Linked DNA regions of Saccharomyces cerevisiae S288C. Each later gene encodes a partner of the first gene's protein in a complex. Each region holds a gene or a part of one and is shown on either strand. Other genes may lie near its edges. A codon is read from its position in the direction of its gene.

Region 1 (7,536 bases):
TATAAGCCTATATAGTTTGTAAGATATAAGACAAAACACACCTGCTTTTCCACTACACATTTTCGTTATTATATAAAAAAGACAGCCAAGTATACTTGTCAACAAAATAAACTCATAGCAATTACACTATAAAAACAATAGCATCAAAAATGTCACTAAGAAACATATCAATGATCACAAAAAATTTGCAAACAACTGCCAAGTGTTATGTCCCAAAAAGTTCACCTACATCAACAACTATTCCGGTTATAAGGGATGCTAGTACTACTCAATGTCGCAGAATAACTACCGTCATCAATATTACGAGTCTGAAAGGATATTCTCCATCTCCAAGAACAGTTCATGATAAGCCAATTGTTATTTGCACTGACAACGAAGAGGTAGAGACTGTATCGGAGCACGTAAAAGTATAATTTGAATTAATCTACTCTTAACACTGTTCAAATGTACGTGTAACGTTTTGACGCTAAAAGATTCTAAAAAATTACTTTTTAAAGTTATACCCTCTGACTTTATGTGACATCAGCATCCTAAGTACCTACCGTTCATAATTTGACGCTTTTCCTTATACATTCAAGCATCGATATATATGATTTTTATATATGTCCTCTATTCTAATACATACTTTTTTACTTTTGAAATAACAAAATATTCTTTTTATTTTTGCGAGTTGAATAATTAAATAAGAGATCAAAGATATATAGAGAGAAACTTTATTTCTCGGAAATCTTACTTCTAGTCGTAGCGTTCGATGTAGTCTGTATCACCAATACATTCTGCAATTGTCAATTGGTCACTACCAATAAGTTCGTTGATTTTAATAGCAACCTCAACTGTTCTTCGTGCACCATCGTGCTCTAAGATCAAACCTTTCCGTTTTCCCTTCCAAGTATTTATGTCCATAAGTATTTCTTCCTCTGTTCTGAAATCATCATTAGTGATTAATTTCCAATCAAAAGTATCGAGATCCCACAAGACAACCGTTAGGCCAAACTGTTTTACTATAGCTCTAACCCTATTATCAATTGCACCGTATGGAGGCCTAAAATACTTGGGGAAATGTTTGCCTGTGGCATTCATAGCCCAAATTGACCATTCAATTTGGGCTACAATTTCTTCGTTTGATAAACTTGGCAAGAATTCATGTGACCACGTGTGTGTACCAATCAAATGACCCCTCTCTAAAATATGCTCATATATATCAGGATAATTAACAGTGTTTATCCCCAGAACAAAAAAAGTGGTTCTTTGTCTCAATTTCTTGAGCAATGCCTCTGTCGCCGGGGCCGGACCGTCGTCAAATGTTTGGGAAAGTTTGAAACACGAAGTTACATCATCAACATCGATGCAGTTATAGCAGTCAAATGAGCACTGCTCTCTAGAAATTTTGGGACACTGGCCAGGATAGTACCTATCTAATTCTGGCACTTCAGTAAGATTTATGTAATCTAGCGGAATATAAGGTGGGTCAATTCCAGGCCATTGTGTAAGATTAGTAAATTCTGTTAACCACTCTGGAAAGGGCGTTTGCATATCTACTTCCCCCATCAATGCGGTACTCCCATTTGACGCAAGGCAATTTCCCTGTTTTAGAAAAAATGCTGCGAACAGCACAGATTGTATTGTATTGAAAATTTTCATCTCTTTTCTTGTGTAAAAGTAAATCTATCACTTAATTTTGTTTCTCTATATTCCACTTTGCTTACTTCTAAGCATCTACTTTGTTAGAACTATTGGTCTTTTTGAAAACACAAAAGTAAATCAACCCACTTGTTGGTATTTTTCTCTTTTAATTGCGATTGAATGACGGCCGGTCCGGAAAATGTGACATCTGGAAAAGAGAAATGTTGAAGCTGCTTCCAAGTGCATGAGACAGAATTTTTTTTACAGAAAATAGAAAGCGTTATCTTGTTAAATATTACTAACTAGTATAGTCATTCATTTTTTTCTTCCATAGTTGTAATATCTTTATTTTTTGTAAGAATTAGCGATAGCTGAGATTGCGTTCTTCAACTTCCTGCTCTCTCTTAGTCTTCTATCCAGGGTATCTCACCTTCCTGATTATCTTGTCAATAGCCATGGCTTCGCTGTTTCTTTATTATAAGAAGTATTTTTTGTTTTCTTCAAGAAATTTTTCGTATTAATATCTTTATGTTTTGTTTGCCTTTACTGGCCAGAAATTTTATACTTATTTTGAATAGAACACATTAAGTTCTACAGGTACCTGCAAAATATCGAGACAAAAGTTTGAACGAGAATATAAGGAATGTTGGTCATAAGGCGTAAACTAACAGAAGATGGCGGTAGCAAGATGTTACCAAGGCGACAACTCGCCTAGTATGTCACAATTATCTATAATTTTATTGTTTATATATAATCAAATCAACCGAAAATTACTCTGAACTTGACTCAAGGAGAAACTATGTTATCATATTTGACATGTTCAATTGAACCTCCAGACATGGTCAATCTCACAGCTTCAGCAAATTCTTTCTCACCCTCACACAGTAACTTTGCTGCATCCTTGTTTAACGGGTCATTGGGATTAGGCTCCAAGAACAAGAAAAGAAGCCCGGTTATAATACTCTGCAAATCTAGAGCTGGCGACCAGTCTTCTCGAAGAATATTTAGGCAAACGTTCCCCTTTAAATCGATATTTGGATGAAAGATCTTCTTCAAACATACAACTTTTGGTGGTTCAATCGGATAAACTTCGTTAAAATCCAAATTGAAATTAATAGATCCATAATTATAATATCCTTCATCAGGCCTAACAATTACCTCCAATTTCGGCGATTGTGATCTATCCGCACTATCTGGTGATGTTATTACATTCAAAGTCACTGTTGGTGGGAGGTCCAGCGAATCAAGGTCCCTTTTCAAACGAATTCTTGCTGCCGATAAATTAGGCTGAATAGAACTGCTGTTTTCATTTTCTTTTTGCTTTTTCTTTTGTAATTGGCGTAATTTCAACTATTTGAATAAAGCCAAGAATATACATATCCAGTACACATATACATTCTCACCCCCCAAAAAGATTATGTTAGTATTTTCGATCGCTAAAAACCGCCAATGAGAAACGGAAAGATATAGTTGCATCTACGTACCATTTTTATTATCTTGTTTTATATTCTCTAACTGATTCTTTAATGTCTCTAAGTACATTTATGAATGATTGGCCTTTTTCATCTCATTTTACCTTTTGGCTGATATCATCAAACGGCACGCGCAGGGATGAAGGTACGTTAATAGTATTTTTTTTTTTCAAGAATACTGCGAAGATGTTTGAGTTGTGGGAAAAAACATATTCAACATTAATAACTATTGTAAATCAAGAAAAAAATTAGATCACAAAAAGATAACTACAGCAATCGAAAACGCCACTCGTTTAAGGCAGATGAGATTTACCAGAGGATTGAAAGCCTCTTCATCTTTAAGAGCGAAAGCTATTGGAAGACTAACTAAACTTTCGACGGGTGCACCAAATGATCAAAACAGTAATGGTACAACATTAGATTTGATAACTCATACATTGCCTATTTTTTATTCCACAAATACGTCAAAGATATATACTATACCACTTACATTGAGTGAATGGGAAGTACTAACTTCGCTTTGTGTTGCAATCCCTACCACGCTCGATCTGGTAGAGACAATGCTTAAAGAAATAATTGCGCCTTATTTTCTGGAAACTCCAAGACAAAGAATTTCAGATGTTCTGTCCTCGAAATTCAAGTTGGAACAGATGAGAAATCCGATTGAATTGCTAACTTTCCAGCTGACTAAGTTTATGATTCAAGCTTGTGAACAGTATCCCGTTCTTTATGAAAATATAGGCGGCATCATTTCAACTTATTTTGAGCGTGTATTAAAGATTTTTACTATTAAACAATCTGGTCTACTATCATTAGTGGGCTTTATTAATGCATTTATCCAGTTTCCCAACTCTACAGAGCTTACTAAATTCACCTGGAAAAAGTTAGCGAAACTTGTGCTTCGTGGATCATTTCTAAACGAAGTTGATAAGATTTTGAATTCCTCAGCAACGTTTACCAATGATTCAATCGTCCAGTATTACGATGCTGGAAATGAGCTATCCAGTGCCTACTTATTGGAATTAATATCTCGCTTGCAAGTTTCGCTAATATCTCATCTGTTAAACACTTCACATGTCGGCGCCAACTTGAGTGAGTTCTTACTAAATCAACAATACCAATTTTACAAATTTGATCAAGAAGTAGCCGATGAAAACGATGATACGAAGTGTATTGATGACTTTTTTTTCAACGTAAGAAGCAATAAACAGTTTTTTACAGACATGTGTAAAATTTCCCTGCAATTTTGTTCTGAGTCACATATTCTCGACCTATCTACAGACAACCGTGCAAGATTTTCTTTTGATACTCGAGCCCACTACCTACAAACGCTATGTTTAATTCCGTTTATAGAAGATACAGAAAGCGAGCTTTTTGAAAGTTTTACAAACGTTGTTTCTGAATCTATTGATAAATTTTTCTTATCTGATGTCGTTACACCATCTTTGATAAAAGCAATTGTAGCTTCTGCCTCATTACTGAATTTTTTCACGGAAAAATTGTCATTAACTCTGATTCGTATGTTTCCTTTATTGGTAGCGTCTCCACATATCACGACTGAAACAGTTAATGATGTTGCAAAAATATTCACCACAGGGTTATACCCTCTAAATGAAGATGCAATTGTGAGTACAATTTATTCCATGAACAACTTATTAGCTGTTTCCGAGGACGGATCGCCCGTCCCGGTGCTCCGTGAGCGCCAATTAACAATAACATCTGGAAAAAATATTGAGAAAGACTACTTTCCCTTGCGAAATTCATCTGCCAGTTTGGATGGCACTGGTGCTCTGCTCGGAAATACAACTGTGGGCCAACTTTCCTCCCATGATGTCAATAGTGGAGCTACTATGACATACCATGCCTCTTTGATATCTAATTGTGTGGCTGCAACGACTACAATCGCCTCATACTATAACACCCAAAGCATAACAGCTTTGACTATCTCTATTCTTACGCAAAAAGTTAATTCTATGTCAAAGGAATTAGACGGTGTTATTTTGAATTCTTTGGCAAGACTGGCTCCGAATACTTCACTGACAGAATTTTCGCTTTTACTAAAGTTCTTCAAATCGAGAACTGTTATTGCAACAAAAATTGATGATAGCGCACTATTGAAAAATATTATTAAAGCGAAATGTGTGATATCAAAAGAATTGTTGGCCAGGCATTTTTCAAGTGACTTATATTTCATGTATCTTCATGATCTATTGGACTCAATCATTGCCAGTGGGGAAGTAGAACGATTGGAACATCACAGACCTCAAACGGAGATTTCCCGTGTTGCTGATCAAATCGCTACCTACTTAGAGCCCCTCGCCGCTCTACTACCTGTTCCAGGCGATACGCCATTGGACATCAATAAGGATGAAGTCACTACAAACAAGTTTAGGAACGCCTGGTTTAATTTTGTCATCCATGGGTACCACTTGGGCGGGCCTATTGTCAAACGAAATTTTTCTTTCTTATTAACTATTGCCTATAATTCACCACCGCTGGCTTCTGAATTTCCTGCTAATAACAAGGAGCTTTCATTGGAAATGAATACAATTTTGCGCCGCGGTTCATCTAACGAAAATATCAAACAACAAAAACAGCAGATAACCGAATATTTCAATACCAATATTGTTCAGTACAGAACAACTTCATCGTCTAAAATCATGTTTTTAGCGGCTGCCGTTCTTCTAGAAACGATAAGATGCGAGGCAGGTGATTGTTCGAAGACTCTACTGTACTTCTCAGACCCCTCCATTCTTTCCGGTTCAATTGAGAAGTGTATTGCAGTTTTGTCGGTTTCCATGATTAGAAAATATGCTAGGTTGATTCAAAAGGGTAACGATGCCATATTCAACTCCAAAATGATTGCTCAACAACTTAATAACTTGCTACTTTGCCTTTCTCATAGGGAACCAACTTTGCAGGATGCCGCTTTTCATGCCTGTGAAATATTTATCAGATCTATTCCATCATCGTTATGTCATCATTTGTCTCTCTACACCTTATTAGATATGTTAACAGCCCTATTTGATAGTATCTTGGACTCAGAGGCGCATAAATTTGAACCACGGTATGAATTTAAATTAAAACATTCTAAGACAACAATATTGGTTCCAAGCTCATCGTCCTGGCGCGCTACGACACTATCAAGATTGCACAAGTCAGCTAAAGAATGGGTAAGAATTCTATTGAATAGAAGCAACCAGGATACTAAGATTTTGTTGCAATCATACATATCAGATCTCGGTGAGTACAGCAGGCTAAATTCTGTTGAATTTGGTGTCTCATTTGCCATGGATATGGCTGGTTTGATTTTACCTGCAGATAAGGAATTATCAAGGCTTACTTATTATGGTCCAGAGAAACCTAACACGATTTCTGGATTTATATCTTTACATTCTTGGAGGTCAAAATATCTTTTCGATACCGCTATTACATCATCACCAGAGGATATCAAAAGGCAAATAGGTATTTCCACTCAAAACATAAGAAAAAATTTGACCTTAGGAAATAAGATTATAACTAAAGACGTAACTGATTTTCTTGATATGGCTACCGCGTTGTTAATTCTTGGCAATGGTGCACCAGCGTCATTGATATATGATATTGTGCACATCCCGTTCGAAGTCTTCACCTCTGCATCTTTAAAGATTGCTACAAACGTATGGTTAACAATCATAACTGAGAAGCCCGAAGTTGCACATTTGCTTTTAGTTGAAGTATGCTATTGCTGGATGCGCTCCATTGATGACAATATTGGTCTCTATTCTCGCGATCATGACTTAAAGGGCGAAGAATACCAAAAAATGGAATATTCCCCTTACGACAAAGCAGGTATCAACAGAGATGCAAAAAATGCATCCCAAGCTATGCAACCACATCTTCATGTTATTAAATTTTTTGCTTCCCATTTCGAGGGCACACTATTTCAAAGTGACTTTTTATTGAAAATTTTCACGAAATGTGCGCTTTATGGTATCAAGAATCTGTATAAGGCTTCACTACACCCGTTCGCTAGAATGATTCGCCACGAATTATTGTTATTCGCGACTCTCGTACTAAACGCAAGTTATAAGCAGGGATCCAAGTATATGGGCCGTTTGTCGCAAGAAATCACAAACGGTGCCCTAAGTTGGTTTAAAAGACCAGTAGCGTGGCCATTCGGCTCAAATGAGCTGAAAATCAAAGCAGATTTATCTGTTACTAGGGACCTTTTCCTTCAGCTCAACAAATTAAGCTCGCTAATGTCACGTCATTGCGGGAAAGATTACAAGATCCTGAACTATTTCTTGGCAAGCGAAATCCAGCAGATTCAAACCTGGCTTACTCCGACTGAGAAGATTGAAGGAGCCGACAGCAACGAGCTTACAAGCGATATCGTTGAAGCTACCTTTGCTAAAGATCCAACATTAGCAATAAATCTCTTACAACGATGTTATAGCAA
Region 2 (5,355 bases), 350 kb from region 1:
TCAATAAATTTTAAAAATTTGAGGACATATGAGAATGGCATAACCATCAGTGCATCTTCTAACTGAGACATTCTTATTCTTAACAGGGTATCCATAATATATTGCTCAGGAGTTTTATTCACAGCAATTAGAACAGCGTTACCCTGTGGTTTTATTGGCGCTTCACCCAACTTCTTTCTTTGCCATAGCTTCATATCTCTGTTATATGCCTCTAAACCTTCAATCTCAGCAATTCCTAAATCTAGCGCCTCCATAAGTCTTTCACCAGCCTTTAACGATTCTAAAGTCTGTTTATGAACACCGGATGCTTCATCTTCAACGCCTTCACCCGATGCATCAGCTTTAAATGCATCATCACCGTTTCCTTCTTCCAAAGAAGTTAGCAATGTATCCTCGTACTGTTCTTCAAGTTCTTTCTCCTTTTCCTCTTCTAAAAATACCTGGTCCTCGGTTTCTTCCCAGATTCTTATACTGTGATCATGGGATGAAGAAACAACAAAGCCGCCATCAGTAGCAACCGCCAAAGCCCAAACTTCGCTCTGATGAGCGTATAGTTTTTGAATGCATTCAAATTTCTCGCCATCCCAATATTTCACCACTGCGTCTTTAGAACAACTAAAGAAGTTGTGAGACTGTGGTAAGAATTTAACGTTCATAATCGAATCCTGATGGGCAAATAAAGACTTGTGACAGTCACCAAAATCTAAACCCCAAATCTTGATATTTTTGTCTGCGGAAGACGTAATAATCATCTTAGAATCAAATGAAATATCGATAGATAGTACAGGTAATTTGTGCCCATATAAACTTAGGTAAAACTTCATTGAGTCCAAAAAGAATACCTTAACAGTATTATCCAGCAACGAGATGGCTAGATATCTATCGTCAGGAGAAACCCGTACACATAAAATGTCGTCAGTTAATTCCAAAGTTGTATCATGGTGCAGTTTTAAAACAGGCAGGAATTTGTTCTTGGTACCTGGCACTAGGCTATTTTCAACTTTGAAATCCCAAAACTTGACAGTTTTATCGGCAGATCCGGTCACTAATCGTTTACCATCTGAGGTCAGATCTAGCGACCAAATTGCCGCATCATGTGCATCTTCAATGGTATCCAAAAGACTTGATGATGCTAGATCAAAGAGCTGTAACTCCCCGTTTCTTGTACCCAGTATGACTAGTAGCCCACCTGGCAAAAACTTACAAGTTAATGCATACCCACATTCGAAAGTTCTGATACATTTATGTGTTTTGATATTCCATATTTTCAATGAACCATTGGATGCTGTGGCAAGTAATTTGTTATCATCACTGATGTCAATACTACGCACATCCGTTCTTTGCCCTTGCAATTCAATAGTATGTGTCTTGAGAGGAGCAGGGCTTGTTGGGTCTCTTTTTTCATATGGAATGGAATAATACTCTATGGTATTACTCGATGTAGTTAATACCAACTCAAGTTTGGAACTTGAGACCGTTGTCCATGATGCAGATTTTATTTTATACAATGATCTTATGGTTTGAAAAGGATGCAATATAAAGGAGGAGTAGGATTCTTTAATAGATTTTGCAATTTCTTCTTCTGTCAACCCCTTTTCTTTTAGCCTCTTCTCTCTTTTCTTTAAACCTCTTGCTATTTCTTCTTCTTTTCTAATTCTGAAAGTCTCGATGGTTTTATCAGCATTTTGGATGTAAAAAAAAGAGGTTTTGTCAGACGAATTTGTTATGAACTCAATCTTTAACCCACGTTGCTTACTTTGCTTTTCGAAAATACCCATCTCTGTTAGTTTCCCCCCCATTTTGTCATTTTCTATATCCAGTTTCCAAATTTTTACTTGACTATCAGTACCAGTTGTGATCAGTAAATCATCCTTCACTGCAAGGCCCCAACACTCTCCAGTATGCGCAATATGTGTCTCTATACATTGATGTGTTTTTAGGTCCCATAGCTTGATCATTCCATCTTTGGAGGTGCTGATCAGCCAATCTTCTCCTTGACACCAAAAGCCAGTAATGGAATCCTTGTGTGATCTAAGTTTATAAAGACCAACTTCTCCAACAAGATCCCATACAATGATATTGGAGTCCTTGGAACCAGAAATTAATCTTGTGCCAGTCCCATCAAATTGTAATAATGTTATAGCTGCTTTGTGACCGTTAAAATTCAAAAGCACAGTCTTAGACATCAAATCCCAAACTTTAATGACACCATCTGCGTAACCGACAGCTAATAAATCCGTATCTTTATGAGCCTCCAAATATGTACACTCGGCTGGCTTGGCGCCTCTAGCATCAGATGCGCCTGGAGGTAAGCCATCGGATAATTTACTGACCAAATCCCCGGTCTTAATATCCCATATATTAACGTCCTCGAGAGCACTCGTAATCAATTGTCCTGGTCCACTACCATTACTATTTCCGGATGACGCAGGTATCCAAACACAATTGGCATTGGAGGCTATTACACCAAAAGCAGCTGCTTGCTCAAAACGTTGGTATGATTTGACCATAATAGCTCTTATTCCAGTTTCTCTGGTCCTTCTAGTGGCTACTCTGATATACGTACGACCTTATACAATATCTACATCTATATTATGAGGGAACTGAAAATTTCTGAAAAATTTTCCACTGCTCATCGCGTTTTTTATTTCCGCCTTATTCCCATCTATCTTAGAAGGGTAACGTATTCCATGCAATATTAAACAGCATACCCTTAAGTATATGAAAGGATGTTTATTGCTGATCCTGTAAGCACTCATAGAACTCATCGATAATAAATGGCCAGGCTGCAGTTTCGTCGTAATCGCTTATTATTTTCTGAATAGTGGGGTATCGTTTGAAAAAGAGGAGCAGCATACGCCAGGTGTCTTTACTTATAGTGGTTTTCCCCTCATCGCGAAGGAAACGGAACCATGCCTCAAGCAAATCTGGTTCCATACGCACTGGGTACTCTGGTTGGAAAAATAGCTTCCAATACTGGATGCCTTCGTCTGTATCTATATCCTTTCGATTTGGGTCCAGAATCAAATTGAAAGCATAGTTATAAATCTGTGTGAAATATTGTAAGTCTTCATGTAATTTAACATCTAACGTCTTGATGCACTCTTGCATGTCTGAAATGGTGGAACAGCCTTGCATAAACCATGTTGACAGGAAGTCCTCTCGTTTTAAGGGTTCTTCTAGTTTCTTGTACCCCAGTAAATGGGCTAAGCATAATGTCGCTAAATCTTCAAGATTGTAGCCTAGCTCCTCAATGAACTTGACCAGTGAGTCTATATCAAACAAGTTGTTATTGATATAGTGTTCAAATACCTGTGTTAGCTCCTTCGGGTATACGGGTGGATGAGCCACAGTTGAAACCTCGTCAGTAAACGTCCCTATTTCCTTGTCATAATAATCATTGAGAGCGTAATTGATGTTCCAGTGATTACGCTGCAGGTACTTCCTGGATACCTTGGGGTCACATTTGGTTAATGAGGTGAATGATTCAATTGCCTCTTGTTCCGGGCTTGCATCCTTTCTTTTTATTTTATTATTACTCTATAATGATGCATCACATTTGAGCGCCCCTTGCCAATAAAGTGTTAGTACTTTGAAGAGCCTGAGAACTAAAGAAACGAAATTAAAAACATACCATGTCCTGAATGCAAGAACGTCTCTTCAAAAATTTCTTTTTTTATTGGGTACTTGCATGTTACTGCGTAAGTTCATTAGTTGCATCTAAATTTTCAAACCTTTGGTTACAAAAACAGTAATAGACAAAAGAGCCAAAATATCGAAAACTAGACGAAAGCCAGACTTAGCGGGACTGTAAATATTTATGGCTTATAGTTAAGGTTTTTCCATCATGTCATTTCAGATTACCCCAACTCGAGATTTGAAAGTTATTACAGATGAGTTACAAACACTTTCCTCATACATCTTTCACACAAACATAGTCGATGATTTGAACTCTTTACTTACATGGATGAGCCCTAATGATGCCAAGAGTAACCATCAACTACGTCCTCCAAGCCTTCGTATTAAGAATATCATTAAGGTTCTCTTCCCTAATAACGCAACCACATCGCCATATAGCATGATAAACACTAGTCAGGCAAACAATTCAATAGTTAATGAGGGAAATACAAACAAAGAGTTACAACTACAACTTTTTTCCACGCTCAAAGAGTTTTATATTTTCCAGGTTCGTTATCATTTTTTCTTACATTTTAACAACATTAATTATCTAAAAGATATCCAACGATGGGAAAATTATTACGAGTTTCCTTTACGTTACGTTCCTATTTTTGACGTAAATGTAAACGACTGGGCACTTGAACTTAATTCTTTAAGACATTATCTGTTGAATAGAAATATAAAGTTCAAAAATAATTTAAGAACAAGATTAGACAAATTAATAATGGATGATGATTTCGACCTGGCAGACAATTTAATCCAATGGCTCAAATCTGCTAATGGTTCCTTATCCTCTACGGAATTGATAGTCAATGCTCTTTACAGCAAAATCAATAAATTTTGTGAAGATAACATGAGTAGAGTATGGAATAAAAGGTTTATGATTATGGAAACATTCAACAAATTTATTAATCAATATTGGTCTCAGTTCTCTAAATTAGTCGGTTGTCCAGAGGATGATCACGAACTGACCACTACAGTTTTCAACTGTTTTGAGTCCAATTTTCTTAGGATAAGAACGAATGAAATCTTTGATATATGCGTTTTGGCTTATCCTGATTCAAAGGTTACTTTATTGGAATTGAGGAAAATTATGAAAGATTTTAAAGACTACACAAATATTGTAACAACTTTTTTGTCTGATTTCAAGAAATACATTCTAAACCCCAGCGTAACTACGGTGGACGCTTTGTTGAGATATGTTAAAACTATCAAAGCATTTTTGGTCCTGGATCCAACAGGGAGATGCCTACATTCAATAACCACGTTTGTTAAACCTTACTTTCAGGAGCGGAAGCACTTAGTAAATGTATTGTTATACGCAATGTTGGACTTACCTGAAGAAGAACTAAAGGAGAAAATTAATTTCAATGTAGATATGAAGGCACTGCTCTCACTTGTAGACACTTTGCACGATTCTGATATCAATCAAGATACGAACATCACCAAAAGGGACAAGAATAAAAAAAGCCCCTTTCTATGGAACCTCAAGGTGAAAGGAAAGAGGGAATTGAACAAGGACCTACCAATAAGACACGCCATGCTATACGAACATATACTCAATTATTATATAGCTTGGGTACCAGAGCCTAATGACATGATTCCCGGTAACATCAAATCAAGTTATATTAAGACAAATTTGTTTGAGGTGCTTTTGGATCTATTTGAATCAAGAGA

Evidence for each region. The genes of interacting proteins can lie anywhere in the genome.
Region 2: the proteins of UBC12 (region 1) and DCN1 are in contact, whole or in part, in a crystal structure (PDB 3TDI), measured with the Saccharomyces cerevisiae proteins. Residues at the interface, in NP_013409.1 of Saccharomyces cerevisiae: Met1 (codon at 3,110), Leu2 (codon at 2,973), Lys3 (codon at 2,970), Leu4 (codon at 2,967), Arg5 (codon at 2,964), Gln6 (codon at 2,961), Leu7 (codon at 2,958), Gln8 (codon at 2,955); in NP_013229.1 of Saccharomyces cerevisiae: Ile90 (codon at 3,276), Asp91 (codon at 3,273), Leu93 (codon at 3,267), Val94 (codon at 3,264), Ile97 (codon at 3,255), Leu104 (codon at 3,234), Glu105 (codon at 3,231), Thr109 (codon at 3,219), Leu110 (codon at 3,216), Ala113 (codon at 3,207), Leu121 (codon at 3,183), Glu122 (codon at 3,180), Leu173 (codon at 3,027), Ile174 (codon at 3,024), Leu175 (codon at 3,021), Asp176 (codon at 3,018), Glu186 (codon at 2,988), Gln189 (codon at 2,979), Tyr190 (codon at 2,976), Leu193 (codon at 2,967).

What each region holds. Positions count from the first base shown.
Region 1 is NC_001144.5:739,725-747,260, reverse strand, and holds UBC12 (NEDD8-conjugating protein UBC12), read right to left. Parts: upstream 3,111-7,536; coding exon 3,108-3,110; intron 2,974-3,107; coding exon 2,410-2,973; downstream 1-2,409. Other genes in the region: DPA10 (Dpa10p), read left to right, coding at 150-413; chitin deacetylase CDA1, read right to left, coding at 736-1,641; 1-phosphatidylinositol 4-kinase STT4, read left to right, coding at 3,398-7,536. UniProt on the Saccharomyces cerevisiae protein: Accepts the ubiquitin-like protein NEDD8/RUB1 from the UBA3-ULA1 E1 complex and catalyzes its covalent attachment to other proteins. The major substrate is CDC53/Cullin.
Region 2 is NC_001144.5:396,812-402,166, reverse strand, and holds DCN1 (NEDD8 ligase DCN1), read right to left. Parts: upstream 3,638-5,355; coding exon 3,635-3,637; intron 3,541-3,634; coding exon 2,734-3,540; downstream 1-2,733. Other genes in the region: snoRNA-binding rRNA-processing protein DIP2, read right to left, coding at 1-2,510; APC2 (anaphase promoting complex subunit 2), read left to right, coding at 3,848-5,355. UniProt on the Saccharomyces cerevisiae protein: Required for neddylation of cullin components of SCF-type E3 ubiquitin ligase complexes. Neddylation of cullins play an essential role in the regulation of SCF-type complexes activity.